3 linked regions of the Ovis aries genome follow. The protein of the gene in region 1 interacts with the protein of each later gene in a pairwise test. Links are inferred from orthologs where the notes say so. Each region holds a gene or a part of one and is shown on either strand. Other genes may lie near its edges. The genes, in order: E3 SUMO-protein ligase ZBED1, LRRC20 and EFHC1.

Region 1 (4,145 bases):
TCGCTCATTCATTTAGGAATCTTTGCGACCCCAGGGACTGTACCGTCCATGGAATTCTCCAGGCCAGAATACTGGGGTGGGTAGCCTTTCCCTTCTCCAGCAGATCTTCCCAACCCAGGGATGGAACCCAGGTCTCCAGCTCTGCAGAAGGATTCTTTATCAGCTGAGCCACCAGGGAAGCCCCCCAAAGGCACTTTATTTGACAGTCAAACAGAGAGGCAGGGTCCTGCGGGCAAGCCACTGAGTACGATTATAATAATAAAGGGGCTCCCCTGGTGGCTCAGACAGCAAAGAATCTGCCTAGAATGCAGGAGACCTGGGTTCGATCCCTGGGTCAAGAAGATCCCCTGGAGAAGGGAATAGCAACCCACTCCAGTATTCTTGCCTGGAAAATCCCATGGGCAGAGGTGCCTGGTGGGCTACAGTCCATGAGGTCGTAAAGAGTCAGACAGGACTGAGCGACTTTCTTTTTTTTTCTTCTTTTTCTTTATAATAATAAAAACCGAGTCAAAGAAAATAGCTTCCAACATGGAGTCAGAATTGGTGACTTCCTCCCTGTAATATTTCCACATTAATTATTGTATACTGTGTGCACATTTATATAGGCCATACATACTGTTAAAAAAGAAAACATCTGATGTTTAAAGGCAAAAAACAGAACTCCCCTGGTGGTCCAATGGTTAAGACTTGGCCACTTCAATATCGGGTTCAATCCTGGGTGGGGTTGCTAAAATCCCTTATGACTCAGGGACCAAAAAACCAGAGAAACATAAAAACAGAAGCAACGCTGTAACGAATTCAATAAAGACGTTAGAAATGAAACAAAACAAAACAAAATCCCAGCTAGTCTGCATCTGAACTGGGCCTCTGGGTTACAGTTTATTTAGCTGCATACCTGGGCAAAGTTCAGTGTCTGGCCCGCCAGGATCCTCTGTCTGTGGGATTGTCCAGGCAAGAATACTGGAGTGGGCGGCCATTCCCTTCTCCACGGAATCTTCCCCACTGGGATCGAATCCTGGTCTCCCGCCTTGCAGGCAGACTGTTCGCTGTCTGAGCCCCCAGGGAAGCCCGCAACCTCCCCTGGGTGCTCTGCAACTTAGGGGCAGTGTGGGGCAAACATGGGACTGCTCTTCAGAGCCCTTCACTGTTTACAAGTCAGCCCAGGTGCCAAAGCTGCACTCTGCCTTCCACTCTGCCTTCCTCTGCAGTCTTTTCCAGTCATGCTCCGTGTGCTTTTTAAAAAACAGCACCAAAATGCAGTTTATCAGAAAACTAATCGCTTAGCTCAACATAAACCTGCGAGATGTATCTCCCCGGGTGAAGACCCAGGGAGGGTAGGAAAAAAAGTGCTCAGAGCTGCAGGTGTGCAAGGCCTGGGCCCTGCTGGGCCTTCCTGCAGGTGGAGGCACGGGAAGGCATTTGCACAAGCATAGTAACAGCCTTTCTGTTTTTCCACCCCAATCTCCCGGGGGTGGCCAGGGTGGTCAGGGGCGTTACCCACAGGCTGCCGGGTTGGGGGGGAGGGCGGTGTGGGCTATGCCAACACCCTTGAAAACCCAGTTGGACTTAAGAATCTCTGTCTCCTCTTACCCCAGATAATAAAGAGAGTCATTACAAGGTAACGGGACACCGCGCTTCCCAGAGAATACTTTGTTTCCAAAAGTAGCTGTTTTTCTCCTAAAAAAATTGACATGTCATTTACGGCACACAGACCCTAGAGTTATTTTGACACTCTGCAAGTCAAGAACAGACAGAAACACCGGTTTCCTCGATCGAAGTCCTGAGAACACCGAGGTGACCAGACAGACGGAGACTCCCTCCCAGATTGGTGGGGAAGGGAGGTGGGGGGGGGGTCCCTAATATGCGTGAAGACGCGAATGGGTCCCCGCACCGCCAAGATTGGGCCCCGAGGCTCCGCGCAGGTGGCGCAGGCCAGAGAAACCGGCGGCCACTAAACTGAAGCTCCCCTCTCCAGGGCTCCTAGACCCCCTAGAAGCCGCCTCCAGCCCCTTGGCGCGCCCCCCAACACCGCCCCAGCCCCCCAGTCCCTGCAAACCCGGGCAGGCCCCGTCCTACTGGAGCCCGCGCGGGGCCGGGATCTCGCCCCCCCGCCCCCGCCTCCCTCCGGGATGCGGGTCTGCAGAGCGCAGGGACCCCGGGGTGGGGTGGGGGGGCTCCCGCCGTGGTTGGGGCGCGCACGGATCCCCTGGAGAGACCCCAGCCCCCGGGGCGCTGGGGAGGGCGCGCCTTCCCCCAAGCCGACCCCCGCAGGCCGCCCGGCCCGGCTTCCGGGAGCGCCCGACGCGGCGCGCACGAACCTGCGACCCCCGGGCCAGGGCGCGCGGGACCCCCTGGCTACCCCGGCCCCCGGGGCGCGCGCGGAGCGGGCGGGGCGGCGGGGAGGGCGCGCCTCCTCCCCCCGCCGGGCCGCCCGGGCCTGCTTCCGGGAGCGCCCGACGCGCCCGCCTCCCCGCGCCCCTTCCCAGCTCCGCCCCGAACCTGGGGGTCCTCTGCACGGGCGGAGGGCGCGCCCCGGGCCCGGCGACGCGGGCCCCCGCCAGCCCCCTGCCGCAGCCCCGCCCGCGCCGCGCGGCCCCGGCCCCTCGCCGCCGCTCCCCGGCCGCTGACCTGGCTCCACGAAGCCCCGCACGCAGCGACGCAGCAGCTGCGCCACGACCAGCGCCGCGCCCACCGCGTACACCCGCAGGGCCGCCCGCGCCGCGGACAAAGGCGACATGGCTGCCCCGCCGCCGCCGCCGCCGCCGCCGCCGCCGCCGCCGCTTCCGCGCCGCCGGCCGGACTCGGAGCCCCGGGCCCGACGGCGGAAACGCGCCCGCGCCGGCCCGCCCCGCGCCGCGCCCACGCCCCGCCCCGCGCGCGCGCGCCCCCGACTCCCGCCCCGCGCGCGCCCCCGCCTCCCGCCCCGCGCGCGCCCGCGCCCCCGCGCGCCCCCGACTCCCGCCCTTCGCGCGGCCCCGCCCTGCGCGCACCCCCGACTCCCGCCCCGAGCGCGCCCCCGCCCTGCGCGCACCCCCGACTCCCGCCCCGAGCGTGCCCACGCCCCCGCGCGCCCCCGACTCCCGCCCCGCGCGCGCCCCCGACTCCCGCCCCGCGCGCGCCCCCGCCCTGCGCGCACCCCCGACTCCCGCCCCGAGCGTGCCCACGCCCCCGCGCGCCCCCGACTCCCGCGCCCCCGCTCCCCGCGCGTCCCCGACCCTCCCGAGCGCGCCCCCGCCCTGCGCGCGCGCCCGACTCCCGCCCCGAGCGCGCCCACGCCCGCGCGCGCCCCCGCCCCGCGCGCGCCCCCGACTCCCGCCCCGAGCGCGCCCACGCCCCCCCCCGCGCGCCCCGGACTCCCGCCCCGAGCGCATCCCCGCCCTGCGCGCGCCCCCGACTCCCGCCCCGAGCGCGCCCACGCCCCCACGCGTCCCCGACTCTCCAGAGCGCGCCCCCGCCCTGCGCACGCCCACGGCCCGCCCCCCCGCGCGCGCCCACGCTCCCCGCCCTGAGCGCGCCCCCGACTCCCCAGCGCGCCCCCGCCCCTGCTCGCGCCCTGAGTCCCGCGCGCGCCCCGACTCCAGCCCCGCGCGCGCGCCCCCGGCTCTCCCGTGCTCCCCAGCCCCTCCTGCACGCGCCCCCGTCTCGCGCGCGCGCCCCCGACTCCCACCCCCCCTGCCGAGTGCGCCCGCGCCCCAGCCTCGCCTGCCCGCGCCCCCGACTCCCGCCCCCCGCGCGCCCCCGCCCCGCGCGCAACCCCGACTCCCGCCCCGAGCAAGCCCCCGCCCCCACGCGTCCCCGACTCCCCAGAGCGCGCCCCCAACTCCCGCCCCGAGCGCGCCCCCGCTCCACTGCGCACGCCCCTGATTCCCACCTCGCGCGCGTCCCGGACTCTCCACGCGCGCCCCCGACTCCCGCCCGGCGCGCGCCCCCGCCCCGCGCGCGCCCCCGCCCTGCGCGCGCCCCCGACTCCCGCCCCGAGCGCGCCCCCGACTCCCGCCCCGAGCGCATCCCCGCCCTGCGCGCGCCCCCAACTCCCGCCCCGAGCGCGCCCACGCCCCCACGCGTCCCCGACTCTCCAGAGCGCGCCCCCGCCCTGCGCGCGCCCCCGACTCCCAGAGCGCGCCCACGCCCCAGCGCGCCCCCGA
Region 2 (4,324 bases), on another chromosome or scaffold:
AAGATGGGGTAAGAGGGCCGCAGAACTGAAGGAAGAACGAACTTGAGATGATGAGAGTCTACAGTGTGTCCCCAAAACTGATCCTACAAGGCTGCCCAACTTCGCTGAGAGCTCCTTTCAGCACCAACCCAACACTGGACCTCTTTGACCAAAAAGTAGCAAGAATTTATTGAGCATGTAACAGGAGCCGACAGAAAAAGGGGTTGGGCCAGGGGTTGAGGGGCTGTGGGTGGAATAAAGCAAACTGCACTTCTTTTCTTTTTGGCTTTAAATTGTTTTAAAGAAAAATAGAGAATTGTCTGAGTCACACATGAGTGATGGAGAGAGGTATGGGCCCACTCTTCACCAAGTGTGAAGTCCCCTAGGCAGAGCCACCCTAGGATGTGAGGGGCCCCTGACTAAACAAGCAATTTGAGTCAACCAAAATCTGTATCAGCACCACCACCCTGGCTGCCCGTTCTCATTCAGTTCCATGAAAGAAGATCATGCTAACCAGTGGGAGCAATCAGTGTGCAAGGCAGCACTCCTGGAACCAGACCCCAACCACAGTGTCCCAAGACAAGTCAACCCCACAGGCCCAAGTTCTGGGCTCCTTAAGACATCTGGTCAACCCCACAGGCAGGGAAAGGGGTAACTGAAAATCAAAGTGTCCCAAAGGAGATAAATAGGACCCATCAGCCCACATAGGTCAATTCTGGGCTTGGGGTCCCAAGCACCAGAGGGCAGCCTTAGAAAATTTCAAGGAAAGTGCTCTAAAGCCTGGAGACCCTTCAGCACAAGGTCCAGACTCATACTCACACTATTGCTGACCCAGCAAAACATCCCTCTCCAACTCCTCTTTCCTCAGAGTGTGCACTATTCCTAGGAAATGTTTAATCCAACAAACGTGTCCTGGGCCCTTCTATAAGGCCCACACTGGAGGAGTAGAGGTGCAGAGACAGAACATGGGCCAGGATGAGCTACCCATCAGATAAGAGAGACTCAGCGACGAAGGGCGGAATGAGCCACATGCTGGAGGTCACGGCACCAGCCTGAAGAGCCCGTGTGCCCTCTGCCATGAGGGCACAGGGCATGGTTGGGAAGAAGGAACAGAGGCAGGGGGTGAGCAGAGGGACCCAAAATGACAAGAGAAAGAGGAAGAGAGGCAGCCAGTCTGTCCCTCAATTCCTGGGGAAGGGGGCTGGAGTCCATTCTACAACTCTGCAGGCAACCACAGGAGTCTTTTGAGGAGAGGCAACTAATCCAACCAGAGTTTTGGAAAATTATCACTGTTGTGAGCAGTCCCAGTTGTCAGCTGGAAATACCACCCTCCTCACTGGGTTGTTTTGAGAAGTAAATGATACATAATTTTTGAGAAATCTCTGCAAAATGTTAAGCACTTCCCATCTAAGTGCTTCACTAAGACATTACTAATATGTGTTTAAAACCACTTCAGATGGTAAGTTAGGATAGAATAAATGTAATGCCAGAAAGGAAGTTGTCCTGCTTTGAGAGTGCTGGCAATAGAGCCCTCTTGTATCTATAACTTGGTTTCACCTGGATACAGGTTTGGGGAGAGATGATTTTTTGCTTAAACACTGACTACAGCCCTCCGACAGGGCTCCCGCCCTCATCAATGAGAATTCTACCTTATCTGAAGCCCCAAGATCTGTGCAAAGGAGCTGCTGCAACACCCCGTGCGCACCAGCTGCTCCTATATTTAGTTACTGGTGTGGTCACTTGGGAACTTTAGAGCCTGGCAGCCGCCCCGAAGGGCAACTGGAGCCTCTTGCGCCATGTGTGGAAGCTCCCCCCACCGCTGGCTGCAGCGGGTCCTCTGGACCTCGCCAAGTTAAGGAGCCACTGGAGAAGTGAGAAGCACTCGGCTGGATCGGACCCAAGGAGCCCCGAAGGCCCACTCGAGGCCGGACAGAGTTGACCCACTTCTCCACCCAAGGGAAGAAGCCCGCAGGGGCGAGGACGCGACGGGCTGCCCGCCCTGGTTTTGAGCCACGGAGTTCGCAGAGCCCGCTGCACGCTTCTGTATGGGAATCTAAGCATCCTCGGGCCGCCACCTCCCAGGACTGAGGGCGGTGGCCAGGGCAGGGTCCCCAAGCCTCGCTCTAGGGGCCCGCCTCACCGTCTTCCCCACCCCCCGGCGCCCGCAGCCAATGGCTCCTCGCCGCCGGCCCTCCGCTCACTCGGCAGGCGGGGACTGGGAGGAATAAAGCCAGCAGAGGGGTAGAACGCTGGTGATCGCCGAGGGCCGGGGACTCCCGCCGTTCCCCGAGGCCGAGAAGCCAGCTCTGGGACAGGCAGTTCCCCAGAGCGGAAGCAAATCCTGAAAGTGTGGCTTCAGGGACGAAATTTACAATAGCCTCTTCGAACAGGGGCGCCTCCCACGGAGAACGGAGGCCCTCTTGGAACGGCTTCCCCAGGCTCCCTATTTCCTGGTACCGCGGCGCCCGCTCCCCCGAGCCAGCTGCGGTCTAGCCGCAGTCTGCAAGCCAGAACCGGCCTGGCGCCGGGCCCCTTGGCACTGCAGAAGTCGCCACTGGTGCACCAATGCTCCTTCCACCGGGTGACTTGGGGGAGGGGAGGGTACTCTCCAGAAACAGGGACATTTCTCTCCCTCTCTCCCCCAGCCCCTCCAGCGCTTAGCCTCAGACTACGTTTACTTTACGGGGCACGAAAGTGGTGCCCGATTCCGGGTCGATCTCTGCTCCACTTACGGCGACAATGCCTCCTAGCGCCCTGCGCAGCGCAGTCACGCTCCCTCGGCCGCCGGCGGCGCCCCATGCAACAGCGGCTAGCTGAAGCCGGCCGGGAGGGGCTCGAGGGGCTGCGGGCTCTGAGCGCGCGGCCGCTTGGCCAATAGCTGTGGCAGGAGGGGCCGCGAGGCGGGAGTAGGCTGCCTTGTGCAACCAATCAGCCTGCCGTTCCCCACGCCGCGCCCGGCAGCGGTGCGCCGGGAAAGGCGGCCCGCGCGCTCGCGTCCGCAGGGTGGGTCCGCTTTGTGTTCGACTTCTGGAGCAAAAACGCTCTGGATGGCCGGAGTATAGAACCGAATGCGCAACAGTTTCCAGGATCAATATGACTGAGTGTCCGGATTTGTTTTTCTCAAGGGAGCAGAGTTGAACTAGCCAGATCAGGGAGATGGGGACGAGGGAGCTTTTCTTGTAATGCCTTAAGGCGCCCATTCAGGTTTTTAGAGGCAATTAATTCTGGCTACTGCTAAGTTACTTCTCCCCTCTAGATCCCAATGTTCATCTCTATAAAATAGAAATTAAAATGTATAAATATCTACTTCACAGGTCATTGTGAGGATTAACACATGAAAAGTTTAGTGGGGTGCCAGGCATGATGGCTCAGGGAAGGGTGGCTGCTTCATAGACCTAAGTTTACAGAGGATTTCCCATAGATTCCTTTTTTTTTTTTTTTTTAAGGCAAACCAAGACCTGGCTGCATCAGGTCTTATTGGGGCTGGAGGGATCTTCCTTGACTCATGCAGGATCTTTCATCGTGGGGCACAGACTCAGTAGTTGCCCCACCACACGTGGGATCTTAGTTACCAGACCAGGCATCAAACCCACCTCCCCTGCCTTGCAAAACAGATTCTTAACCACTGGCCCACCAGGGAAGTCCCTTCCCATATATTTTTTTCTAGGCACTGTGGGGAGGACCAAAGAGATGAGGGCCTGAACTCAACCAGCAATGGTGGTCAATGAGTCAAACGCTCCAATAAACAGAAGCGTGTGTGTAAATATGTGGGAGCCCTGAAGACATAATGTTTAATTCTGCCCCCTGGGGACTGGGGCAGTTAGACGAGGAATACACATTCACCTGGGTCTTGGTGGGTGTTATCAGTTAAATTGCATCTCCCCCCAACCAATATATATATATATGTTGAATTCTTAACTCCCAGTACCTGAGAATGTGACCTGATTTGGAAATAAGGTCATTGCAGGTATAACAGGTTAAGATGAGATCATACTGGCATAGGGCGTGACTGATGTCCTTATAAGAGAAGAAACACAAAGACACATAGACACATAAGGCCTTGTGAAGATGGAGGCAGGGTAGAGTGATGTGTCTACAAGCCAAGAAATTCCAAGGATTGTGGACAAGGATCGGAAACTAAGAAGAAGCAAGGAACGGGTGTTCCCTCAGTGCCTCCATAAAGGAACCAACTCTGCTGACACCTTGATTTCAGACTTCTAGCTTCCAGAACTGTGAGAATAAGTTTCTCTCGTATTAAACTACCTGCTGCTGCTGCTGCTGCTAAGTTGCTTCAGTCGTGTCCAACTCTGTGTGACCCCATAGACAGCAGCCCATCAGGCTCCCC
Region 3 (3,539 bases), on another chromosome or scaffold:
TTTCTCATGTTTTGACAAAAAGGTTTTGAAGCTGCAGAACAAGAGTGAATTTTCCCAGTGGTGCAAAGATTGTCTGTGTGGTCACATTCATAATCCCACTATAAACTTCTGGGCAAAAGGGGACGCCTGGATCCTCCACCTGGATTCCAGGACACCACACCTGCCTAGCTTTCTTCCTGCCTCACTAGCTGTTCTCTGGTTTCTCTTCCAACTCTTACTGCTGGAGGACTCCAGAGTGCAATCCTTGGAGCTATTTTTTCTTCTCTGTCTATAATGGCTACCTTAGAGATTTCACCCAGTCTCGTGGCTTAAAATATCATTTATATGCCCACAACTCCCACAGCTCTCACCTGAACTCTAGGTTTATATGTCCAACCGCCTGTTTGATCACTCTACTTGCATATCTAAAGGTATCTTAAACCCCAGTATGTCCAACACTGAAACATCCCCACCACCCCACCGCCTCCAAAAAATCCTCCTCTACCTACAATATACGTCTCCATCCCAGCTGGTGGCAACTCCTCCTTTCCAGATGCTCAGGTCAGAAACATTCATCATCCTTACCTCCTCCTCCTCTCATCTCTGCTATAGCCACTGTCTTAATCATTGTTTTTAGTCACTAAGTCATGTCTGACTCTTTGAGACCCAAAATAGACTGCAGCCCACCAGGCTCCTCTGTCCATGAGATTTTCCAGGCATTAATACTGGAGTGGGTTGCCTTTTCCTTCTCCAGGGGATCTTCCCAACCCAGGAACTGAACTGGTGTCTCCTGCATTGGCAGGCAGATGCTTTACCACTGAGGCACCAAGGAAACCCAAGTTACTATATTAGACTCAGGTAACCTGTGTAAACCACCTGCCAAGCAGGAAACATGGGTTCTATCTCTGGGTCAGGAAGATCCCCTGGAGAAGGAAATGGGGACACAAAAGAGTAGGACACGACTTAGTAACTAAACAACCACCACCCGTGTATAAGAATTTCCATTGGTGAGGGAAACCTGAAAAGCTAAAATGTGATTACCCATTCATTTTGTTAAGAACTGTTTGCTGAATATCTCATTGTGCCAAAGCCAAAATGGATCTCAGATGGTCAGACATACCCATCCAATTCTGGTGCGGGAGCCTCTTGCTTTTGAATGCGGTTCTGAATCGACAGGAGTGCTTCTGGTGAATACTGGGCAGCGTTGCTCTCCATGTATTTCAAAACGTAGTCGTCTGTATCAAGGATGACGAACCGGTGGCCAAACACTGGGGAGAAGGTAGAAATACATTAGCCTGGTTATGTTTTTATCAGGCAACCAAGAGTAAAAATTCACAGACATGTATTTATGACCTAGACTAATGAACCTTAAATATCTCTCCAAACTAATATGCACTAGTTTGCTCAGTGCTTAGGGAGCTCCGAGTCTCCATCTACAGCCAACAAATGCAACCAATTTACAGTTTAATTGATAAAGGAGGATATTAAGACATTGAACCACATGTACTTCTGGACTGCAGACTAATGCCTTATACAAGTGTTCACTCAGTTAAATCCCCAATAAAGCCAGTAGGAAAGCCTGAACTCTGCTGAGACCTACCGTCAATCACAGCACCAATGAAGAAGTCACTGGGGCCATAGTATACAGGGTTTTCCACCGAGGAATCTGGTTTGATAACTTTAGTTTTGCCGAGATACTTGCCCCCAATGATACCAGAATTGCGAACAGGAGGCTCAAAGATACTGATCATGTCAGTGGCCAGAAAATAAGACAAGACAAACTGGCGGTCTTTGTCTTCTGGGATGGGGGATTCCTGGAAAGGTGAAGAAAAGAGGACATTATGAAGATACACGATCTATGCAGATGCCGCCAACTAAAATACCTACAGGGACTAGGCTACAATATAAGCCTAACATATGGAATATAACATGAATGAACAGTATAGGGGGACTCTGGAGGCCTGGACAGGGTACATTTCACCTAAGGGAAGCTCCCCCAACTCACACCAGTTGACTGTTGCCTGTGGGAATGAACGCAGGCCCAATGTTAGTAGATCTTCCAATTTTTCATGAGAAGATAGAAATATGGATTACTATATTAAATCCCTGACTTTAACATGTTGACTTCAACTCTTTAAAAGCACCAGGCAGGCCAGAGATAACATATGGGCTATATTCTACCCAAAGGTGGCTAGTCTGAAACCTCTCAGCTGACATTATGTTCAGCTTCAAGGACACTAAAGTAACTATGCAAAGTCTATGCCTTTACACAAATCCATTTCTATACATAATTTTAAAAAGAAAATTTTAAAGGAGAGGAAAATTTATGCAGATCCTTTTCTGTGTGTATCAAAGGAGTCCATGATGTCAAAACGTCTTTTTATTGGTGACGCTGATCTTGATCACTTGGTTAAGAAGATGCCTGGTAGGTTTCTCTCCTAGGAAGTCACCATCTTTCCCTTTGCAGTTAATAAATATTTTGAGGGAGATGCTTGCAAGCTATGGAAATCGTGTTTTTCCCCAAAGGGTTTCCCACTAATTTTAGCATCTGTTGATGGATCTGGTCAGCAACAAGTTTACTGTGGTGTGTGCATAATGCTAATTTTCTACCTCATTCTTTTCTTCCAGGCTTGTTCACTGAAATTCTACTATATGATAATCTCTAGGTCAATCCATGTTGCTGCAAATTATTCCAGTTTTCTTATGGCTGAGTAATATTCCCTTACACACACACACACACACACACACACACACACACACACTTCCACACAGCTTCTTTATATCCATTCCTCTGTTGATGGACATTTAGGTTGCTCCCATGTCTTGGCTATTTTAAACAGTACTGCTATGAACACTGGGGTGCATGTATCTTTTCAACTTAAGAGTTTTCATTAGGTTGAGTTCCAGTTCTGCCTCTGTCTAAGCACTAAGACCTGGGACACACCATTAACCTCTCTGATTCTTATATTTCAAAACATAAAATGAGTATAACATTATTTTGCCTGACTCATGGACAGTGTATGTGTAAATAAATTCATTTACCAACTCAACCAATAATTATCGAGTGCCTACAAAGTCTAAAGAGACACTACCCCTGCCCTCAAGGAATTCACAATTACTATGTTATAATTCAACAAACCTCTTGAACTTTAATAGTAACTCAAAGAACTTAGCCAACAATGCAAAACCTTCATTAATCAGAATTCTTTTCTTTTATTTTTTAATCAGAGGAAAATTGCTTTACAATGTTGTGTTGGTTTCTGCCCTACCAGAATTCTCAGTGTGGAGTGTTCTAATTGGCCTAGAATTTACTAGAACTCTCGTTTCAAAGCTTTGTTCAACATTTCAAAAAATATATCAGTTAACTATGTTCTCATTTTTCAAACACATTTCTATTGCCAGAGTAACATGTCAATTTCTGCTATTTATGTCTAAATAAAACACTTATATTTCTATTTCTGTTTTTTTTTTTCTTCTATTTTTAAAGACATTACCCTTTGAATTCTTATCAGTAATTTGCTTCAGGCAATTCAGCCACTGAGTGGAACATTCAGGATCTA

Evidence for each region.
Region 2: the proteins of E3 SUMO-protein ligase ZBED1 (region 1) and LRRC20 interact in binary tests that used the Homo sapiens proteins (3 or more experiments, as listed by UniProt). The two-hybrid records come from large-scale screens. The link is inferred for Ovis aries from reciprocal best matches to the Homo sapiens genes ZBED1 and LRRC20.
Region 3: the proteins of E3 SUMO-protein ligase ZBED1 (region 1) and EFHC1 interact in binary tests that used the Homo sapiens proteins (3 or more experiments, as listed by UniProt). The two-hybrid records come from large-scale screens. The link is inferred for Ovis aries from reciprocal best matches to the Homo sapiens genes ZBED1 and EFHC1.

What each region holds. Positions count from the first base shown.
Region 1 is NC_056080.1:6,131,470-6,135,614, reverse strand, and holds the start of E3 SUMO-protein ligase ZBED1, read right to left. Parts: upstream 2,821-4,145; 5' UTR 2,738-2,820; coding exon of another isoform or gene 2,629-2,737; intron 1,976-2,628; exon of another isoform or gene 896-1,975; intron 1-895. Other genes in the region: dehydrogenase/reductase SDR family member on chromosome X, read right to left, coding at 2,629-2,737.
Region 2 is NC_056078.1:25,782,653-25,786,976, forward strand, and holds the start of LRRC20 (leucine-rich repeat-containing protein 20), read right to left. Parts: upstream 2,801-4,324; 5' UTR 2,712-2,800; intron 1-2,711.
Region 3 is NC_056073.1:24,531,166-24,534,704, reverse strand, and holds part of EFHC1 (EF-hand domain-containing protein 1), read right to left. Parts: intron 1,794-3,539; coding exon 1,580-1,793; intron 1,248-1,579; coding exon 1,100-1,247; intron 1-1,099. UniProt on the Homo sapiens protein: Microtubule inner protein (MIP) part of the dynein-decorated doublet microtubules (DMTs) in cilia axoneme, which is required for motile cilia beating.